2 linked regions of the Lepisosteus oculatus genome follow. The protein of the gene in region 1 purifies or fractionates together with the protein of each later gene. This does not show direct contact. Links are inferred from orthologs where the notes say so. Each region holds a gene or a part of one and is shown in the gene's direction. Other genes may lie near its edges.

The links.
Region 2: the proteins of map4k5 (region 1) and crkl purify together in Homo sapiens (affinity purification with western blotting; 3 studies listed by BioGRID and IntAct, with this or other methods). This does not show direct contact. The link is inferred for Lepisosteus oculatus from reciprocal best matches to the Homo sapiens genes MAP4K5 and CRKL.

Annotation. Positions count from the first base shown.
Region 1 is NC_090703.1:13,012,397-13,021,824, reverse strand, and holds the start of map4k5 (mitogen-activated protein kinase kinase kinase kinase 5), read left to right. Parts: upstream 1-5,402; 5' UTR 5,403-5,977; intron 5,978-6,577; exon of another isoform or gene 6,578-6,596; 5' UTR 6,597-6,774; coding exon 6,775-6,882; intron 6,883-9,428. Other genes in the region: atl1 (atlastin-1), read right to left, coding at 3,845-3,878. UniProt on the Homo sapiens protein: May play a role in the response to environmental stress. Appears to act upstream of the JUN N-terminal pathway.
Region 2 is NC_090717.1:9,392,111-9,401,346, forward strand, and holds the start of crkl (crk-like protein), read left to right. Parts: upstream 1-5,182; 5' UTR 5,183-6,107; coding exon 6,108-6,418; intron 6,419-7,577; coding exon 7,578-8,040; intron 8,041-9,236. UniProt on the Homo sapiens protein: May mediate the transduction of intracellular signals.

The DNA of each region.
Region 1 (9,428 bases):
TGGTGCTTGTCAGAGGAAAAAATACTGTTTGCACTGAATTCATATATCATTCTTTGTATATAGAATGCTACATATGTATACCAGTTTAAAGATGTTTAAACTGAAGACGTACTCCTGAAGAAGGCTACACAGCCTAAATGTGGTGTTTCATTTAGTTTCTTTTCAGCATGGAATAAACTTTTACTGGTTCCTTGGCAGCCTACACATGCCCGATGCAGCTACATACTTGATCTTATACATATATCCTGCCCTATCAAAATATGAGAATATAAAATTCCATAGGATTTGGCCAAACAAGAATATCCAAATCACTGTAGTTAGATAGCCCAGCATATGTAATGACCGATGATTCCAAAGTACTACAAAGCAGTAGCAAACTAGCCCTTTTTCTTCTTTCATGCTGTGCTACACAGTAGAAGGCTGATGTATGTGACTTCACGAATGGTATGCTTTTAGTGCACATGGTTGTGTGGTGTATACTCAAAGGCAACATCAGACCTACCTAATGTGTCACATTTCTGCAGCCTCTGAGTTTACAAGCAGTGGTTGCAGATGCAAATTCTAGCCAGAGTAAATACCGCAATCAAAGGGACAGGTGGAAGATTTCACAACTTTTGAGAAGACCCATGTCTTGATAGACAAATGTCGATACCATGCGTCCACTTGTTTAATCGCTGCTGGAAGTGGACTAATCCACTAATAGGTACATTACAGTATATGGAAAGTTTTGGTAGGGGTACATACATGTACACCTATGTATCTATGTATTTATGTATATGCATTATTCAAAAATATGCAACACTAGGTACAAAGACGGTGATAGGGGAGACATATTGCTTGTTCTTATTCACTGGAATCCCTACTTTCACAACTATTTTTGTAACTCTGAACAAATAATGGTTTCAAGTTATGTAATATACTGCAGACATTGGTGTTTAAGTCTCACCTGGGTGTGTACTGTATATACAGTATATATCTATGCTTTCCAACTTTTCGGTTCACATACAGTATACAACTCACATGACATGAAGTTTGAATCTAAACTAATCCAGTACGTTAAAAGGTACACATTGGAATTAAACGTTTACATCTTGCCACATTCATTATTGAATGATTATGAGGACCGCTCATTTTCCTTGTTTTTTATTTGTTCCAAAAATGAGCGGTCCTGATTAGCTTTACCCAGCTCATGAGACAGTGTGGGAAACGGAGTAAATTGTCAGTGCAGCATAGAGGTGGAAATGTATTCCTCAAAGAACAAAAAAATAATTTGTGAAGATGTGTGAGACCCACACAGTTCCTTATCAGAAGTGTAAATACTTTCCCACCAAGGAGAGTGTTCCCAATCTTTCTACCATCCTATTGAAAGCTACTCCCGGTTTCTGGAAAATGTGCCTCGTTAGAAGCAGAACCTATGAACTGCAGTATAATTGACAAGCAGTTAAAAATCAATAGATTCCATCACCAACAGAGTAGCATGTTAAAGCCATTAATGATAAATGTTTATCGTCTGATTCAGATTGCTAAGTGGGTGGTGCAATAGGTAGGCTTTCCAGGCAATGACTCAGTATAAATGGCCTTACTGCATGTACTTACTGGCCAACACGTAGGCTGCACAGCACAAGCAAATAGGCCAAAGAGATGAACGAGTCATAACAGCAAGGGAATGTGTCTTGAGAAAAATTATTTTGTAGAAAATTCCTTTTTTGGGATGTGGGAAGGCTGTGGTACTAAAAAAATGGGAAAAAATGTAAGAAATCTTTGGCCTGCTGACGAGAACAATGCAGACAAACAGCAAGCTAAAGGCAACCCATGACTCTGAAACTGTTCCCAGAAGAAACAGCATAGTGGGCCAAACATCTGGAATGTGCTTTTGAAGCCAGACAGGTAGTAGAAAGGATGAATAACAAACTGGACTATGATTGCAGAATTAAAGATACAGAATAATAATTGATGTGCCAGAATCTTTCTCTTTGTCTGATTAGTCTATCAAACTGACTATATGTGGTCTTAACACAGAAATCAAATCCCAGCTTGACGTATTCAGCTTTTGGATACACTACAATCTACAGTTGATCCAGTCAGGTAAAAGAAAACTATCCCATCAATCTGTCTTCTGACCAAAGAACTAGACACATCCCAGTGACAACTGCGTATGGAGCAAGCAGACGCTCCAGATGCTAAATCTGTTTAAAACCCAGGGGCACAGATTATTACTGGAGTGGAAGTTTGTATGGGCTGACACGGCTCTTGATTACTTTAATCTGCAAATTAAGTTTGTAAACAGAAAAGCAGACTATTTCAAATTAACTCAAGTTGTGATTTAGAATGCTTTGCCACATGGTGCTTTATATTAACAAGATGTTTTGTCATTGTGGCACATAAACTACAATAAAGAGAAAAACATAAAACAGAATTGAACTACTGTATTTCTGGGGAAAAACACATTTTTTAAAGTACCATCTTTACATTAAAATAGTTTAGAGGCAACTGACCAAGCCAAGAGCTAATCAAACTATGGAAACTTGTCAGCTTCCTCACACTGATCTGATTCTGGCACAGTAGCCTCTTCACCATGTTTTATTTCTAGTTATTTAGATTTTTTAGATGTTCTTCCCAATCAGATGTGCAGTCATTTCATCAAACAATTGTAGACAGAAAACTCCATCTGCCATGTATGTAGGAGCAGGTTTCAAAGATGATGTGATAAGATGTCTTGCAAATATTGACAATGATCCCTACAGCCCACTTGTCTTATTTATTGCCTCTTTATTGTGGTAGTCCTAACAAACAAACCCACTTAATTACATTATTTGGGTTTTGAGGGTATTGATATTATTTAGCTGGCAGACAGAAAATGCATATCTACCCTCCCTGCACTAAAAAGTACTAGATAGTGAAATGAAAGCAAAATGCATGCAGAGCCTGCTCTCAATAATCTTTTAACAAATCTGTGCAGAGAAACCAGGCTGCTAATGGATCATGTGTCTGTCAGCAGCTCCGTCTACAGGTGATCTTTAAATAGTCAAGCATACTAGATACCTCAATTTAAGGCCCGAAACACAGTACTACACCAAATGTCAAAACGGCTGCATAATGTTTAATGTTTTATGTATGTATTTTAATACAATTAAACAAATTGGTTGATACGTCTCTTGTCATTGATTTTTAATACCAATGTTATTTTCAACTAAGATAAATACTTCTAATTCTGAAACGGACATACGTAAACCCTCTGCAGCAAGCTCACAGCATACAAATGTTCTGTGGGATGTTATTGGTGTATTATTGGACTATACGGTTGTGAATTCATTCTATTAGAAGACAAGGCGTGACTTAACAACACTCTGCTCCCAAGCCTTTTTCTCAAACTCCTATTTGTTTCCTGTGCAGCACACAGTCAAGCTGGGTTGGATTTTGGATTCTGCCTCACACTGCTGGCCATATAGAAAGTATAAGATGCATTATGTGGCTGTTGCACCTTGTAGCACTGCATTTGTGAGCAGAAAAGCAGCCGGGGATAGGCCTACACTACTCTGGCTCCAGGCGAGGCTTATTATTATTACAGGAGCTGACGATGCAGTGCTGAACAGGGCCAGCAGTGTATCTCAAGCAAGATGAACATGGTACCAGGGTGAATACTGGTGATGGGTCTGCACAAAGCAGAAAATCTGGAATTGCAGACACCAAGCATCTCCTCCATTATTAATGTGCATAATGCAAACACACATACAGTACACACGGGCATCACTGGTACTCACCAGAACTGCTCCAGTTCCCACCCCTTGCATTTCAAATGTGTTGTTTTGTCAAAAACACGGATAAATAAGAAAGAAGAGCTCACCCCAGCTGTTCCTTTCCTTACGATTCCTGGCCATGGTCCTGTAGGTGCTGTTTTCAGCCCTCTGTGTGCCTGTGTTATTTGTGGTGAATGGGGGAAAAAAAATCCGTCAGTGTGCATGTAGACGTAGGAGGCTCCCTTCGCGATCTGCTCTGAAGATGCTCTCGGCAGCGGGAGGGTGATGGAGCCTCATTTTCAACTCGCAGCTGCATTAGCAGAGAAGTGTCGGCAGGGGGAGGCGTACGGACACGAAACCTTTCGGCTAACATCGGAGAAACCCGCTGGATAGATTAATTACCTTTGCGATGGAAAACTACCGCTTTCCCTGGGCGTTTTTATCAAGCTTTTAAGCACATCATTAACACTATATTAGCGGTTGATGCTTTACCTATTGTAACAGAATAATTTTTGCATTAAAAACAACGGTGAAGGTGATCACAGAGGTTTATTTCCTTGACATTTCGGTCATATTTGATTCGGTAAATTACTTTTACCCTGAAGGCCTGGAACATGTATAAGCTTGTATTCTAACACGTATGTCCAGGTGTGTAACCTGCGCCTGTTTTGAAATGTGACTCACAACATAAATCAAACTCCGTCACTGGGGTATTTAAAGTCGAAGCTGCATCAAGTTCAGTTGAAACTACAGTCAATACACGACGGAAGGTACAATAAAGACACATACTGGATATAAACTATCAATTGTTATTTGTGGACGAGTATTATTATTTTTCTTATTTTTGTAGTATTAACCTGCAGCCTCATACAGGTAACAATCGTTTGTGAAGACGTTTTCTTTACAAAGGTAAAAGATGTGGCTTAAAGGAAGAAAAGTGTTTCAGTGATTCAATTTCACTGGCATTCATTAAATTTCTGATGTGCGCACAAATATGGATAACTTTCCTGGCAGACTTTGATTTTAACGCAGTTTGCCTTTCATAATGATAGCCGTCAGGATTTACGTACTCGGCGATAAGAGCAGGCCACCTTTGAATGTTAAGGTATTTTTTACAATAGGAATATTTTTTACATATTTTATATCTACTTTACTGTATAGCAAACGTGACTTTAATGTAATTCTGAAATAATGCGTTGATGTAACTCACAATGATATTAACAACACCTGTATCCCCACACGTAGCTCCCCACTCAAATGTAGGTAATTTCCATGCACGGAGAATTACGTAACAAGTACATTGGAAACGTTTTAGACTGTAACTTCAAAATGTTTAAAATGCACTCTACCAAACCTTTAAGAAAGATGTATTATCTTCTCGAATAAACGTCGCTACCCATTACTTCCTTAAGACAGAAACGGAGAATTAAGTAAATGCAATTAGTCTTACAGAAAGTTAAGTTGCTTTGCAAGTATAAAAACTTCATGGTGTATATATCACGTTCAAGGGGAAAATGCAAATTCTGAAGTTTTATACATGGAGTTGTAGACCTAACTACTCCTCATTTTTAAAATCTGGATTGGTTTGAAGCATATTCACCGGTAGATGGCGGTATGTGCCAATTCCCAATATAATCTGTCGCAATCCATAGCCTGGAGCATCAAATGACGCTCCTTCAACTGGAATGCAGCCTGCTGTTTTAATTGTTTTACTTATGAGACCATTCTGACCCAGAACGGCGAAGAAAACACCCTTTTTATCAGATGGTTTGTCTTTTTTTGTTTGTTTGTTTTTTTTCCCCACTGCCACGTTTCTTTTCACTTTTTTTATGAGAAGGTCTCCAGCAGCAGTTTTCGGCGGCGCTGGAAGCATAGGGAAATAGAGGAAGAAAATATTTCAGACAAATTTCGATTTTTTGGTTGTTGTCCTTGTTGTTTTCGAATTACGCGGGGCGCGAAACGACTGCCGGCCGCCTGCTTGTTTTGGTGGCTGCCGCCGAGGGGTCAGACATCAGGCTGGCCGTGTTGTCATCGGGAGGAAGTGACATTGGATGTCAACGTCGAAAGTGAGGCGGAGTGGAGGACTGAGAGGTGCCAGTGGAGCTGCTCGCTTAGGGGAGAGATATACATTTTTTGAGGACAAAAAAAAAAACCCTTCTCAATTCGACGTCTGATCGTTTTCAAAGACTTCGAGAAAGTGTCCGAACCGAAGCCCTTGGCGTCGATCATCCCTAAACAAGGTATTTAAGAGTTTAGCTGTGTTTCGGGATGCGTGTGCTTCGTGCACGGACGGTGTGCAAGCATCTAGCTACTAGAGAAATTGTTCATTAGTATATACATATCCTTATATGACGATTAACACTGTCGAGCAATTTAAGCCAGCTCACGTTCACCTGCTTTTTAATGCAGCCTGTTCGTGGTAATGTAAATTGTAACTACATTTAATGTGTGTTTTACAGTAATTTAGCTAGAGCTATACTGTATATAGTATATATAGAGTACGTGTAGTATACAAGTTTGTTTATACCGCTACTTTAAAAAAAATATGGAGTTGTAACATCGCAAAGAACCTACTTAATGTCAGCAGAAACCTACAGCTAAATTGCCCAGTGTTTGTGTATAGTGCTGAATTTAAAATGGAGTTGTAGTAGCGTGGTATTCATTCTCAATTACGCTAAAAACAAGAAGACTTGCAGCTAGTAGCACTATGAGGTAGACGTGCGATTCTGTGCTTTTGAGCTTTTCCGTTGCGCAGTAGCTTTGCTCACATATTTTAGCCGTGGGTCCCGCTTATATCTGTTTATAGTGTCCTGATGTGTGTGCCAGTGTTTCACACTCACTTTTCTCTCTTCGCAGCAGGAAATGGACCAGAAGCCATATTTGGAAATAAGAACTTTCCTTCTTTAAGAAATAAAATCCCGAAGGAAATCGCACACAGTTTGGATATTGTTTTGAATTAAACAGGATTCCATTCGCGTTCCCTTTCCCCCCCTTTTAACGGATTTTTATTTAATGTAAGAGGAGAAAAGTAACTACCATGGAAGCTTTTTCCCGGCCCAGCGGGGAGATCCTGAGGAGAAACCCACAACAGGATTTCGAGCTCATTCAGCGAGTTGGGAGCGGAACTTATGGGGACGTATATAAGGTATTTTTCTCATCGACTTAAAAAGAGTACAGACATTCATTCTTGTTCCTATGAAGCGAAAGAGGTAGTTTCACGTCAATACATCCGTGTACGGGCAATTGTCACAACAGGGGCGTGCGAACACAACGTTTACGTGAGCTACAGACAAACTACTGGCGTTTTGAATTTCTTTATCTCCAGGCTATACGCATCGGTATGTGAAGAACGAAATTGTTTTTATCCTGTTGCATACAGACAACACAAACAGTAGTCGGTATTGTGTCGCATCTAAAGCGTGGCGCAAGGTTTGGAGCCGTCTGCGGTCCGGTGAGCTGTCCTGCATCACATGCACTGCGTGTTGCTTACACAAGTGCCCAAGGTTTTATACCGGAATGTTAAGAAGAGAGCATTCCTTGTGATGTGATGAAACCTCTTGCTTTTGATGCGACTCTTTTGTGGTGTGTGCAACAGCTACCACCATAGTTTTAAGGTACAATAATGTAAATCGTATACAGAAAGTGTATTCGTGCTCTCCGCCATGAACTGGAGTCATCTGCAACGATACACGGCGTGGAGTGAGTTTGTATTTGGAGTCGTCCACGCAGACATCAGAGATTGACATCGCTTTGAGATGCAAGGGTGCCGTTTCCAAAGTAATTCAGGACTTTCCGACTTGTAAAACGAAGAGACATCCCTGCATGATTGGTGGGAATTGTACTTATAAAAACGGTGGCTGATAACGTCCGTAAACTTTCAGAATATTGTGTATTCAGCTAAGCCGCAGTCAACAGAACAGGCTTTTATGCCAGTGTTTCTGTGGCTGATGACTTTTTCCAATGTCTGGTTTGGACTGCTTAAACCGCACATTGGGTTCTATATGAGTTTATTTTTTTCATATGGGTTATTTATGGTGCCGCATCACTCTCTGCTTGAAGTAGTGAGGGAACTTTAGTCCTGATATAAACGTTACATTATTTGTGAATGATGAACTCAAGTATTTCATAATGTGGATGTCTCTAGTATTAGGTGGTGTTATTTAGGTGTTTGTTTTTTCCTACAGGAATTAGCGTAATTGAATTTGCAGTTTGTAGAATTATGATTAAAGAAAAACTGCTTATTATATTGTGTATGGGTAATGTCCTGGTCCAAGACCGGAAAGCGTGGTGAGAGATAATAATAATAATAATTGCTTACACTTCTATAGCACTTTTCTGGACACTCCACTCAAAGCGCTTTATACAGTAGGTAATGGGGACTCCCCTCCACCACCACTAATGTGCAGCTCCACCTGGATGATGCGACGGCAGCCATAGTGCGCCAGAACGCTCACCACACATCAGCTATCAGTGGAGAGGAGAGCAGAGTGATGAAGCCAATTCATAGAGGAGGATTATTAGGAGGCCATGATTGGTAAGGGCCAATGGGGAATTTGGTCAAGACCCCGGGGTTACACCCCTACTCTTTTCGCCCTGGGATTTGTAATGACCACAGAGAGTCAGGACCTTGGTTTTACGTCTCATCTGAAGGACGGTAGATGGCCTATAGAATCGCAGAGAGTCGGATCCGACTGACCGGATAACGTCATCATCAATGTCCTGGTATTCTCCTGATACAGTGTTTGGTTTCCTTATTCATGTTGAATTGTACATCATGAAATACATAAACGGAACACACACTGGTGTAGTAGTAGTAGTGGTGGTGGAGGGGAGTCCCTATTACCTGTTAAGCTCTTTGAATGGAGTGTCTGGAAAAGCGCTATATAAGTGTAAGCAATTATTATTATAGTGACCTGTCAGCATTGTATGTTTGAAAACCAAAGTGTTGCTAAAATGGTAAACTATGTTTGGCAAAAAGCATGGCATATTAAAATCAGAACGTAATAATGAGTTGTCATGGTTTGTTCCCTGACTGTAGATATTTGTTCTGCAGATACAGTGTTTGTTCTTCTTTTGATCTTGTTTAGCATCAGTGCTTCCTAGGCAGGTGACACTGTGCACCTGAGTTATAGATAGATCAGTCAGTCCCTTACTCATTTAGATTTCAGTGTTTCCAGCAGTGTATGTGGTGAGCTTTATTATTGATCTTTTCTGGAAGGCACATTCATATTCTCCTGATCACTGTATGTCTGTCCATACAAATTTTCAAGACTAGGTTACTTTTTGGAGAATGTGCTTTCTGTTCTGTTGCACAACGGAATGTGGAATGGTCTCCCAGCATGCTTTAAAGACAGTCAGCACTTTTATATCCTGTCTTCTAACTTGCTTTTATCTTCTAACTTTTAATTCTGTTTTTCTCTACTGTACTGACATGTCTGTTTTGCCTTGTTTTGTTTTATTGAAGAGTGACTTGAGATGTCACGAACATCACTTGATAAAGAAGAGGCTGTAATTCTCCTCACCACAGTGGTGTAAGTCGAAACAAAGAGGTCAGAATGCTCATGTCTGCCCCCTGATGTCATCTGGACAAATCATATGGAAGGGCTCATATCGGCTGAAATAGCCAGCGGAGAGACTTGAATTCATCCTTCTCTTTCTACTGTAAATGCACACTGGTCTGGTTTTCCTTTT
Region 2 (9,236 bases), on another chromosome or scaffold:
CTAGCTGAAGGATGATTACAGAAGTGAATCTATTTAAAAAAAGACTCCATTCTAAACAAGTAGAGAGGACTGCCTGTTTTCATTGGTGTCGCTTCAGTGAAACTAACCTCTTTGTGCCTTGTGCGTTGACATAGAATGGGACAAAACGCTACTAGAATAACTTACACTCCATATTTGAATTGATTGAGTCTTCTGAGGACCGTGTATGGGTCTACCACAAATTATCAGATGAACCATGTTTGTCTCAGGTTCTGGCTTAATTTCATATCATTGACATTTCAGAACCTACCAGGATTATGTGACGATCTCATATAATGTTCTGCTCTTTCCAGTTTTTAAGTGACTGATTTTTCTACGTAGAAAAACAGTTTTTTTGCATTGGTTCTTCAGATTTCTGTTTCACGCATGGAAGGTTTAAAATAAAAAAAAAAGCTGTTTCCTTTTAAATGCACATTATCTTTCTGTGGAGGGTCAATAAATACTGTACAACAGCTTTAACCAAAATGGACGTTGTGTGTTTTTTCTAGTAGACTAAATTTCTGTGTTGTGGATAATCTGACATTTCCAGTGTGTACTGTATGTGACTAATGACTCATTCTTACACGCATATCTTTAGATGAGCTGTGTACCTATAGTGTATTACAGAGGCAGATAAAGGCGGCTGCATGTTAAATGTTCACAGAAATAATAGTTAATTGCTTAAGTGTCTGAGTCATTAGTTGTTTAAACAAGATTGCTGACAACAACATGCAGCCGTCATCAGAGAATTCTTAAAATAGATTTTGTTTCACCAGGAAAGTCTGGGGATTGATTTTTAAACTGCCTGCTTCCTGTTACCAAACAGAATCTTCCCATACAGTAAAATTATGTAACCAGTTTCCTCTACCCAGCAGAATGCTTACGATGATACAATCTCAGTTTCTGGCAGCGGCAATGAACTGCACTGGTCAAATCAGATTCTGAATGCCAGAGCCAAATAGTAACTGTAAAGAGGATTATGCATTTGTGTGATAATTGGTTAGAACTGTCACAACAATGGGCTCTGCACCAAGAAGCTTTATGGGCTGTTAATGTTAGGGTTCAAGTCAAGAAGACATTCTGTACCTTTTTTCTTCCAGAATCACTTTATTCCCTGACTGCTTTACACTTATTGCTGCTTTATAGATTTTAGTGTAGCTGCAGTAGTCATTCCACTACAGAAGGGAGCGTCCCATTGTTAAGTGATATAAGAACAAATGATGCTGTCGGAGAGGTTTGACTAACTGTTGTGTATCCATGTTGTGTGCAAATGACAAATAAACTTATTTTAATATCCTTATACAATACCTGCTTATATAGTGGTTGTACCCTAGGTGATGAGGGGATCTAATCCTGTTATTTTGTATCATCTTAAAAAAACATGGTTGGGTCACTTGTGGGAGTCTGGAACAACCTTTCCTGTAGTTTCCACTTTTGTCCTCTGGCTAATGTTTCACTGTTTACTCCATGGAAGAATGACATCTGAAGATTTTCAAAACTCGAATCATGTTTCTTTGGTCAAGACGAAAAAGCACTTTTTAGCCTGCCAGAGTGGGACAGTACTTTGCCATTCATATGCTCTATCTGTATAAATTATGAATATTTTTTTATCAAAAAGGATTCTAACAAGTTATACAAAACCTGCTGCTTCCAAATCAATGTTGACTGCACTGTAGAATTAAATTTCCATTCAGATGACCCTCTGGTGTAGTTCTTATGGTTTTCATTACCTTTCATGTAGTCGGATTTAAGATTCATTGGTCTGTGATGCCTTGGTTTGATTTTGTCACTTTTTTCATGGATGAGTGCTGCATCCCATCTCTAGAGACTGCAGTGAGAGCTTTGTTAATGGACTATGAATAGCATCTCTTGTTTCCTTAAGTAGGAGTAGTAGAACACTGAAGATGTATCTTAATTGTTTCTAGTAGCTGTAACATGCCTGCATTTCTATGCTAATGCTGTTTAGTATGCGGTTTTGTCTCTTCTCATCCTGAGGTATGTTGTCTATTTCTTCCTTGGTGAAACCTGAGTGAAATATTAATTTATCAGTCATTTTGTCTTTAATTATCTAAGTGTTTCCCAATTTTATCCCTGAGACACTTCACCTTGAACTTCTCCTTTGCTATTGAAATACAGAAAAAAATGTAGGCATGAGGGAGTTCTGTCGTGCTCAGCGGGAAGAAGGAAGAAGTATTATGTTTATATGTGCGTGCTACATTTTTTAATTTTTATCTCCAGAGCCTCTCACCCACTTATCATGGATGGCATTAGCACAGATTTCCACAGGGAAACAATCTAGGTTACGGCCTACTTTTTTTTTTACAAATTCTGCCCCATGATCAGGTGAAACTCAAAACTAGTGTAATATATACTATATATAACTCCTCATACCTAACTTGCAAACTGCTAATTGTTAGGGGTAGAAAACTATTAAGGGTTTAATTAAGAATCTACAAGTCAAACTAAAAAAGAGTCCTACAGGTACTCATGTCACAAGGATCAACACGGCCAAGACCTGCATCATGAAAAAGTCTCATTTCAGTTTTGTGAAAAGGATTTAAGTGGAAAAACTGTCCCCATCCTCAATATTCTATTAAAAGTATAAAAAAAACTTTTTTTTTATTTCAGTGCTTGCAAATGATTCTTGAAACAGCAGATACACTCTATTGTATTCCCATTATTGACATTGACACATTATAATTCCACGGGAATTTAAAAATAATATATTGTTACAGAATTTTAAAGGTGTTTATTTCAGATTACAACTGTGTAATGAATCACACGTGAATTTGCAATTGTTCAATAAAGTGTTACTTATCTTTACAGGGGTGTTGGATAAACTTGGTTTAAAATAAGAGTGTAGCCACAAAAACCTCTCTTAATGATAGAAGGAGCACTGGTGATGGGTTTCTGTTTGTATAGGGATATAGCTTCTTTACAGGTCTTTAAAGCTACATATTTTAAAAATGTAAAACTTCACAGTATTTCTGCAGCTTCATTATTTTGTGTGATTCTTATAAAAGTGTTTTGTGTACTCTGATGTTTTATCATGTCATTTTACATTTAATATTTTTACTGCAAATACAAACATATATTTCAGTTTTCAAGATGTTTTATAAATGTTTTTAAATAAAATTAACTTATGTGATTAAAATCAGTTGTGTAGTTCAGTGCATTTCCACTATAGTGAATGAAAGCATGTATTTCAAATACTGTACATTTTGGAAAGAAAATCTGAGTTAATATAAGTAGGTACTTTAATATCTAAAAACCATATTAAAGTCTGAAGCAGATCAATACTCTGGCTTGACAAAAAGTGATGATCTGAAGACACTAATGTGAGAAGATTAGTACTGTATAAATTCACCCTCTTTTATTATATAAAGAGGCAGGCTTATTCTTTTCACCCTGGAGCATTAAAAGATTAAAATACATACAGAATCAATCCACGTTGTCATTTTAGAGCAAACACAGCCCTTCTGTTTATAGCTTGTCATGTTGCAACATCCTCTTTTATAATCGATGTTCATCTAAATTAAAAATATATCTTTCTTACTCAAACATTATGCTTTTAGAAAGATTGAAATGTAAGCTAATTTGTGTATTAATGCAAAAAGCATCTTTATATGTTACGCATGCAATGCGTGGCATATTATTGCTAAAGTACACTCTTCCAAAATTGTAAGTAATATTAAATTTCCATTTTTGCACATCGATAATTTGCACTCGTCCTCTCTCTCAGGGAGTTATGTGAGAAATTGGCACGCGTCCGCCAATACGAACCAGTGGGTGCAAAACCATTTATATTCGTCCAGACTGGGTCTCTGTGAAAAGCTAGGCCGCGTTCCAGTGGCTTTTTATGCAACCCGGACACTCAAAGCCTGTTTTTCCAGCCTCGTAGGAAAAGTGAATTCTTCCAACCCCTTCTTTGAATTCCCAGCACAGATGAGGAAATGGGGATCTCTGGCTTTAGGCCACAGTGTTATGCTGGAGCTCTCTCAACAAACAACTGACATTCTCTGTCAATCCCCTTCATCAGCGACGCACTTAGGAGGGGTTTCGGTATGTCTCCTGCATCCCAATGCCGAGGCACTCATTTCTGAACACAATTACACTGCAACTGTGGAGACCTGTGCTCTGGATAACCGTCCTGCCAATGTCTCCAAGGCAGGGAACAAAATCTCCACAAAAGCCATCTTCACAGAGTTCTTCACAAGAAATGAAATGTCTTACACGATTCAAATCTAATGTTTATAGAGCTCCAAACTGTGTGAGATGTTGGTAGTGGATGTTTTGCTTTTAAAAATACCTTTAGGATGTGGCAGATTTCTGCGGTCTGGCTGGCAGGTTTAAACAGGGAGTGGAAACCTCAAAGTCTGTCCCTATATGTATATGCTAAAGGAAAAAAATAATTATTTGCATTTGCATGTGTGTAGTGTGCTGGTCATTTCTGCTTGTATTTTCACAACCCCCAAAATATGAACGGTAAAGGCATTAAAGTGGACGTTTTTTTTCATGCTGTCGCTGTAAATGTACTGATGTACTGTATAAACTGCCGCCATAAAGCTGTCTTTGGCGTTAGCACTTATTTGAACAATTTTTAAGAGATGGTTATCACCAACGTGCATGCTCAATGGTGCGATTGCACAATGCCCGCAGATGAGCGCCAGGGGGTCGAGCAGTTCCCCGGAGGGGTGAGAAACCTACTACAGGCCAGCGGTGCAGCGTCGTACAGAACCGTTGCCTGCGCATTTCATAAATTCTGTCAAATCTAAGCGAGACGATGTGCGTTTACGTCTCAAGATACCGACATTGCGCCTTTTAATGTTCTGATTAAACGTAGGTGCCCCCTTACAAGACACGTCGTGGCCCGATTTAAGTGGTTTGGCTTGGCTGACTTTGGTCTACAAACTGCGAGACGATTTTTTTGGGGGGGTTGTTTTTATTTATTTTTTTCCGGCGAGGATGGTGCCTTTTTATAATGTCTGCTTTTGAAAGGACCCCGCTGTAGACCTAAAAAGCAGCAACAACAACAAACAAACACGGGAAAAAAAAAACAACAACCCGCGACCGATCACGACGGCTCCGCACGGGCGCTCGAGCCTGCCCCCCCTCTCTCCGCTTCCTCTTTGGTGCGCGAGGAGGCAGAAGCCGCGTCACCTGCGCGCGGGGTAGAGCTGGGAGCGCGCGGACCCGCCCTCCCCGCCGCCATTTCTGAGTCGGGCTGTGTGAGGCAGGCAGGCGGATTCCTGTATCAACAGGGTGAAGTGGGGGAGCCGCGAAAACGTACCTGAGTAAGGGCCTACCCGCGTTCGTCCGTTTTGTGTGGGGTTTTTTTTTTGTTTTAAAAAAAAATCCGAAAGCGTCGAGATCCGCTGCCGAGTGGGGGGGGGGATTGGTGACACCCGAGAGGCTGGAGACGGGCTGTTCTGCAGCACAATTCATTTTGCTTTTCGGGAGACGTGCGCGAAGGCCGCCATTTTCGTCAGCCTGCTTTTGGAAACTCTGTACCGGAGTCGAGAGAGAGAGAGACAGAGAGAGACCCCCCAGCCTTGTTGTTCCCCCACCCTCCCTCCGTCTCGGGAGCTGATTATTGCCGGCAAATCTGCGGGGTTGAGCCGGGGCCGTAGTCGTAACGCCGTTGAGCAAGATGGGGGACAGTTCGGTACAATAATATTTCCCGTTAGTTCAACGGACTGGCAGCGGCGGCTGAAGAACATTGTTTCGGCAGATGGTTGAGCGCTTCTTAAAGAGCTGCCAGAAAGCGGGCGCTCCTTCCTGCTGCTTGGGCCCTTTTCTAGGTCGTTGACATAGCGGGCGGTGGAAAAAGGCGGCATTATAATGTGTCCAAGTCGGCCTCGTAGCTAGAGCTCTCTTGTGAAACGTCAGGGAGGAAATCGGCGTTGCCGGTCGGGGCTGCCATCGTTTTAAAACTTCGTGCCGCGATCGGGGTGGGTGAAAACTCGCCCTTGAGCTCTCAACGAAACTAGGCGTTTCCAACCCACCCCCCCAAAAAAAAAAAACCGGACGTTTTTTATTGATTTTTTTTGTTCTTAATCATTTGGATCCCGTCTCGAGTCCGCCCCGCCATGTCCAACGCGCGGTTCGACCCCTCGGACCGGTCCAGTTGGTATTTCGGGCCGGTGTCGCGGCAGGAGGCGCAGAACAGACTGCAGGGGCAGAGGCACGGCATGTTCCTGGTGCGGGACTCCTCGACGTGCCCGGGGGACTACGTGCTGTCGGTGTCCGAGAACTCCAAGGTGTCCCACTACATCATCAACTCGCTGCCCAACAAGAAGTTCAAGATCGGCGACCAGGAGTTCGAGCACCTGCCGGCCCTGCTGGAGTTTTACAAAATCCATTACCTGGACACCACGACGCTGATCGAGCCGGCTCCGAGGTGGGTGCCATCGGGTTGGGGTCTGCGGCTGCAGCGAGGAGGAGGAGGAGGAGGGTGAACGCATTTGTGTGCGGGCTGTGAACTTCGATTTCCTGTTTTTCTTTTTATTATCTGTTGAGGGGGTTTAGTGTTGGTTTTTGTGTGTGTCTGTGTGTAAACCTAGTGCTTTGCCTGGAAGCCTTTCTGGTCAGTTCTTCCCCTTACTTGCTCTCGGGTGCTCAACTTCCGTTTTATTTTGAATCGAGAGGCGAGAAGGAACTATCGCCCTTTCAGGCTCGCTTGCTGGACGGGCTCGTTAATGTGGTCTTTGATCTTCTACCCCCCCCCCCCCCCCCCGCCAGAAATAAAAGAAATAAGATTGCATTGTTTGGGGGATATGCTGAAGATGGACCAAGAATAAAACTACTGTTCGCTCACTAGAATAGTGTGATATTGGGTTGAACGCGAGCTCTCAAATTTAGTGAGAAGTGCTTGGTTTGCTTGAGGGGGTTTAGGTTTTGTCGGAAACATTGGGGGAACTTTTAGCTTGTATATCTGTAAATAAGGAAAGGATACCAGGAAATCGGCGAAGCTGGTGTTGTGACAGCAACTAGTATTACATGTTGCAGACAGAAACCCCATGAGATATATTACTTTGTGGGCTCCTCTTGTTTCTCTTACCTGTTACTCTGTAGTTCGAAGTCAGTCTTATTTCAAATAACCTGTTAGAGGCAGTGCAGAACATTATGAAGAGTCCTTAGGTGACATGACCAGTTGGGGTTTCATTTTCAAATTGTCTGCTCAATTTGAAAATGAGCACTTTGGGGCTTTATTTTGAGACTTTTAACTTTGTTTTCTTAGCTTTTATGCACTTTAGCAATTAAACAAGCATAGATCTGTTTTAAGAAATAATAAATGATTGGTCAAGACCAGGTGGAAATTGTGCCAGAACACCAGGGTTAACACCCCTGCTCTTCAAGGAATGCCCTGGGGTTTTTAATCCCCTTGGTTTGTATTAAACAAAGCCGCAGGAATTATTTCTAGAGCAGTTTTCTACCATTTTGTAAAATCTTTGTTCCGATGGTACCATTGAAGAGACGAAACTGTTAATTGAGTTGCTTTGTGTTCCCGACGGTTGTTTTTGGGTTGAAGTGGGTCATGTGTGCGTTGCTCTTTTCAGATACCCAAATCCGTCTGTTGGGACCAGTCCCGCGCCCGTGGGACAGCCCGAGGAGAATCTGGAGTATGTTCGGACTCTGTATGACTTCACCGGGAGCGATGCCGAGGACTTGCCCTTCAAGAAGGGGGAGATCTTGGTTATCTTGGAGAAACCCGAGGAGCAGTGGTGGAGCGCCAGGAACAAGGAGGGACGAGTGGGCATGATCCCTGTGCCTTACGTAGAGAAGCTGGTTAGACCATCGCCACATCAGCACCAGTTCCATGGCAACAGGAATTCAAACAGCTATGGCATCCCTGAGCCTGCCCACGCCTACGCCCAGCCTCAGACACCCTCCCCTCTCCCCCCTACCACCCCAGGCGCAGTCATCAACCCCTTGCCCTCCACACAGAATGGACCTGTAATGGCTAAAGCCATCCAGAAACGTGTGCCTTGTGCTTATGACAAGACTGCCCTGGCACTAGAGGTAGGATCTGCATTTCTCTGTTCTTAATGATGTACCCCGTTCTTAATGAACTTATTTTCACCCATAACAATTTGACATTGCTCTTGCTGCTAATTGCACCACTTTTCATGAATCTTTGCCTTTTCTGCTTTGTTTTGATGTATAACATCTATGTCATGTTTGATATTAAACTTGAGTGTGGACTGTGATTGCACTGATTTCAGCCATGCTGTAAACTACGTACAGTTTTAAGGCTTCAACTATTAAAATGACAGCAAAGTCTAATTAGGGAAAGCTTTAACATGTTCCATTTAGAGTGTTAGTTTGGATTTTTTTTCTTTTCTTTTCACTAGCTCCATTTGTGTTCATTCCCCTGAGCGAATGTGCAAATTAGGTTGCTGTTCACGATAATGAAAATGCACTCAGAAATAGAAGGTGTAATTGGGTGCAAAAAGACCGACACATCATTGCTCATGCTATTCAGGGGATAAACTCGAGAATCTAATTTGGTGGAAATAAATGATCTTCATGTGCACGTCTAAAATTACTATATACCTTTATATATTAAACAGCTAGCATGGATGCAGCTGTCTTGTAAGTGGAAAGTCATTTATCTGAGCATTCTTCAGTGCACTTCGTGAACAGATTATAATACACTGCACTCTAAGAAACTACGATCTTCTTGTGCTGTTCATTCATCCATGTTGGATACAGCACAATTCTAGTCTAACATGACAGAGAACCTGAATTAGATGATTAAGACAGTTTCGCAAACTTTTTTCACATTTATGGTGCGACTCTAATCAAATCTCCAAAACATATTAACAGCACAATTCTTGATCTTTTTATGTCTCTTCTTCAAAAGAAGAGATTAAAGAGATTTTTTTTAAGACAGCCTCACCCTTAGCATTCAGTGGAAGCTGTACTTGGCAAGCAAGGGAGAAAATATCTGTAGGGTATAGCTTCACCTGGAGAAATACCAGAGAATGGGTGTGGGGAGCAGATTGAGAAAGCACAATATTGTATTTGTGCTAGTTTCCCCCGAGGACATGAATTTTTTCAGCAAATGTGCATGGTGGAAATTGCTCATCCTGTTGACAGGTATTCAGACAGACCCAGTAGCTGTCTATAGGGACGTTAGTTGGTGGTGCCATACCCATGCTTTTGAGCTGTAAAGTCACTTTATATATAGGGAATCTTAAATATAGGTGATGATA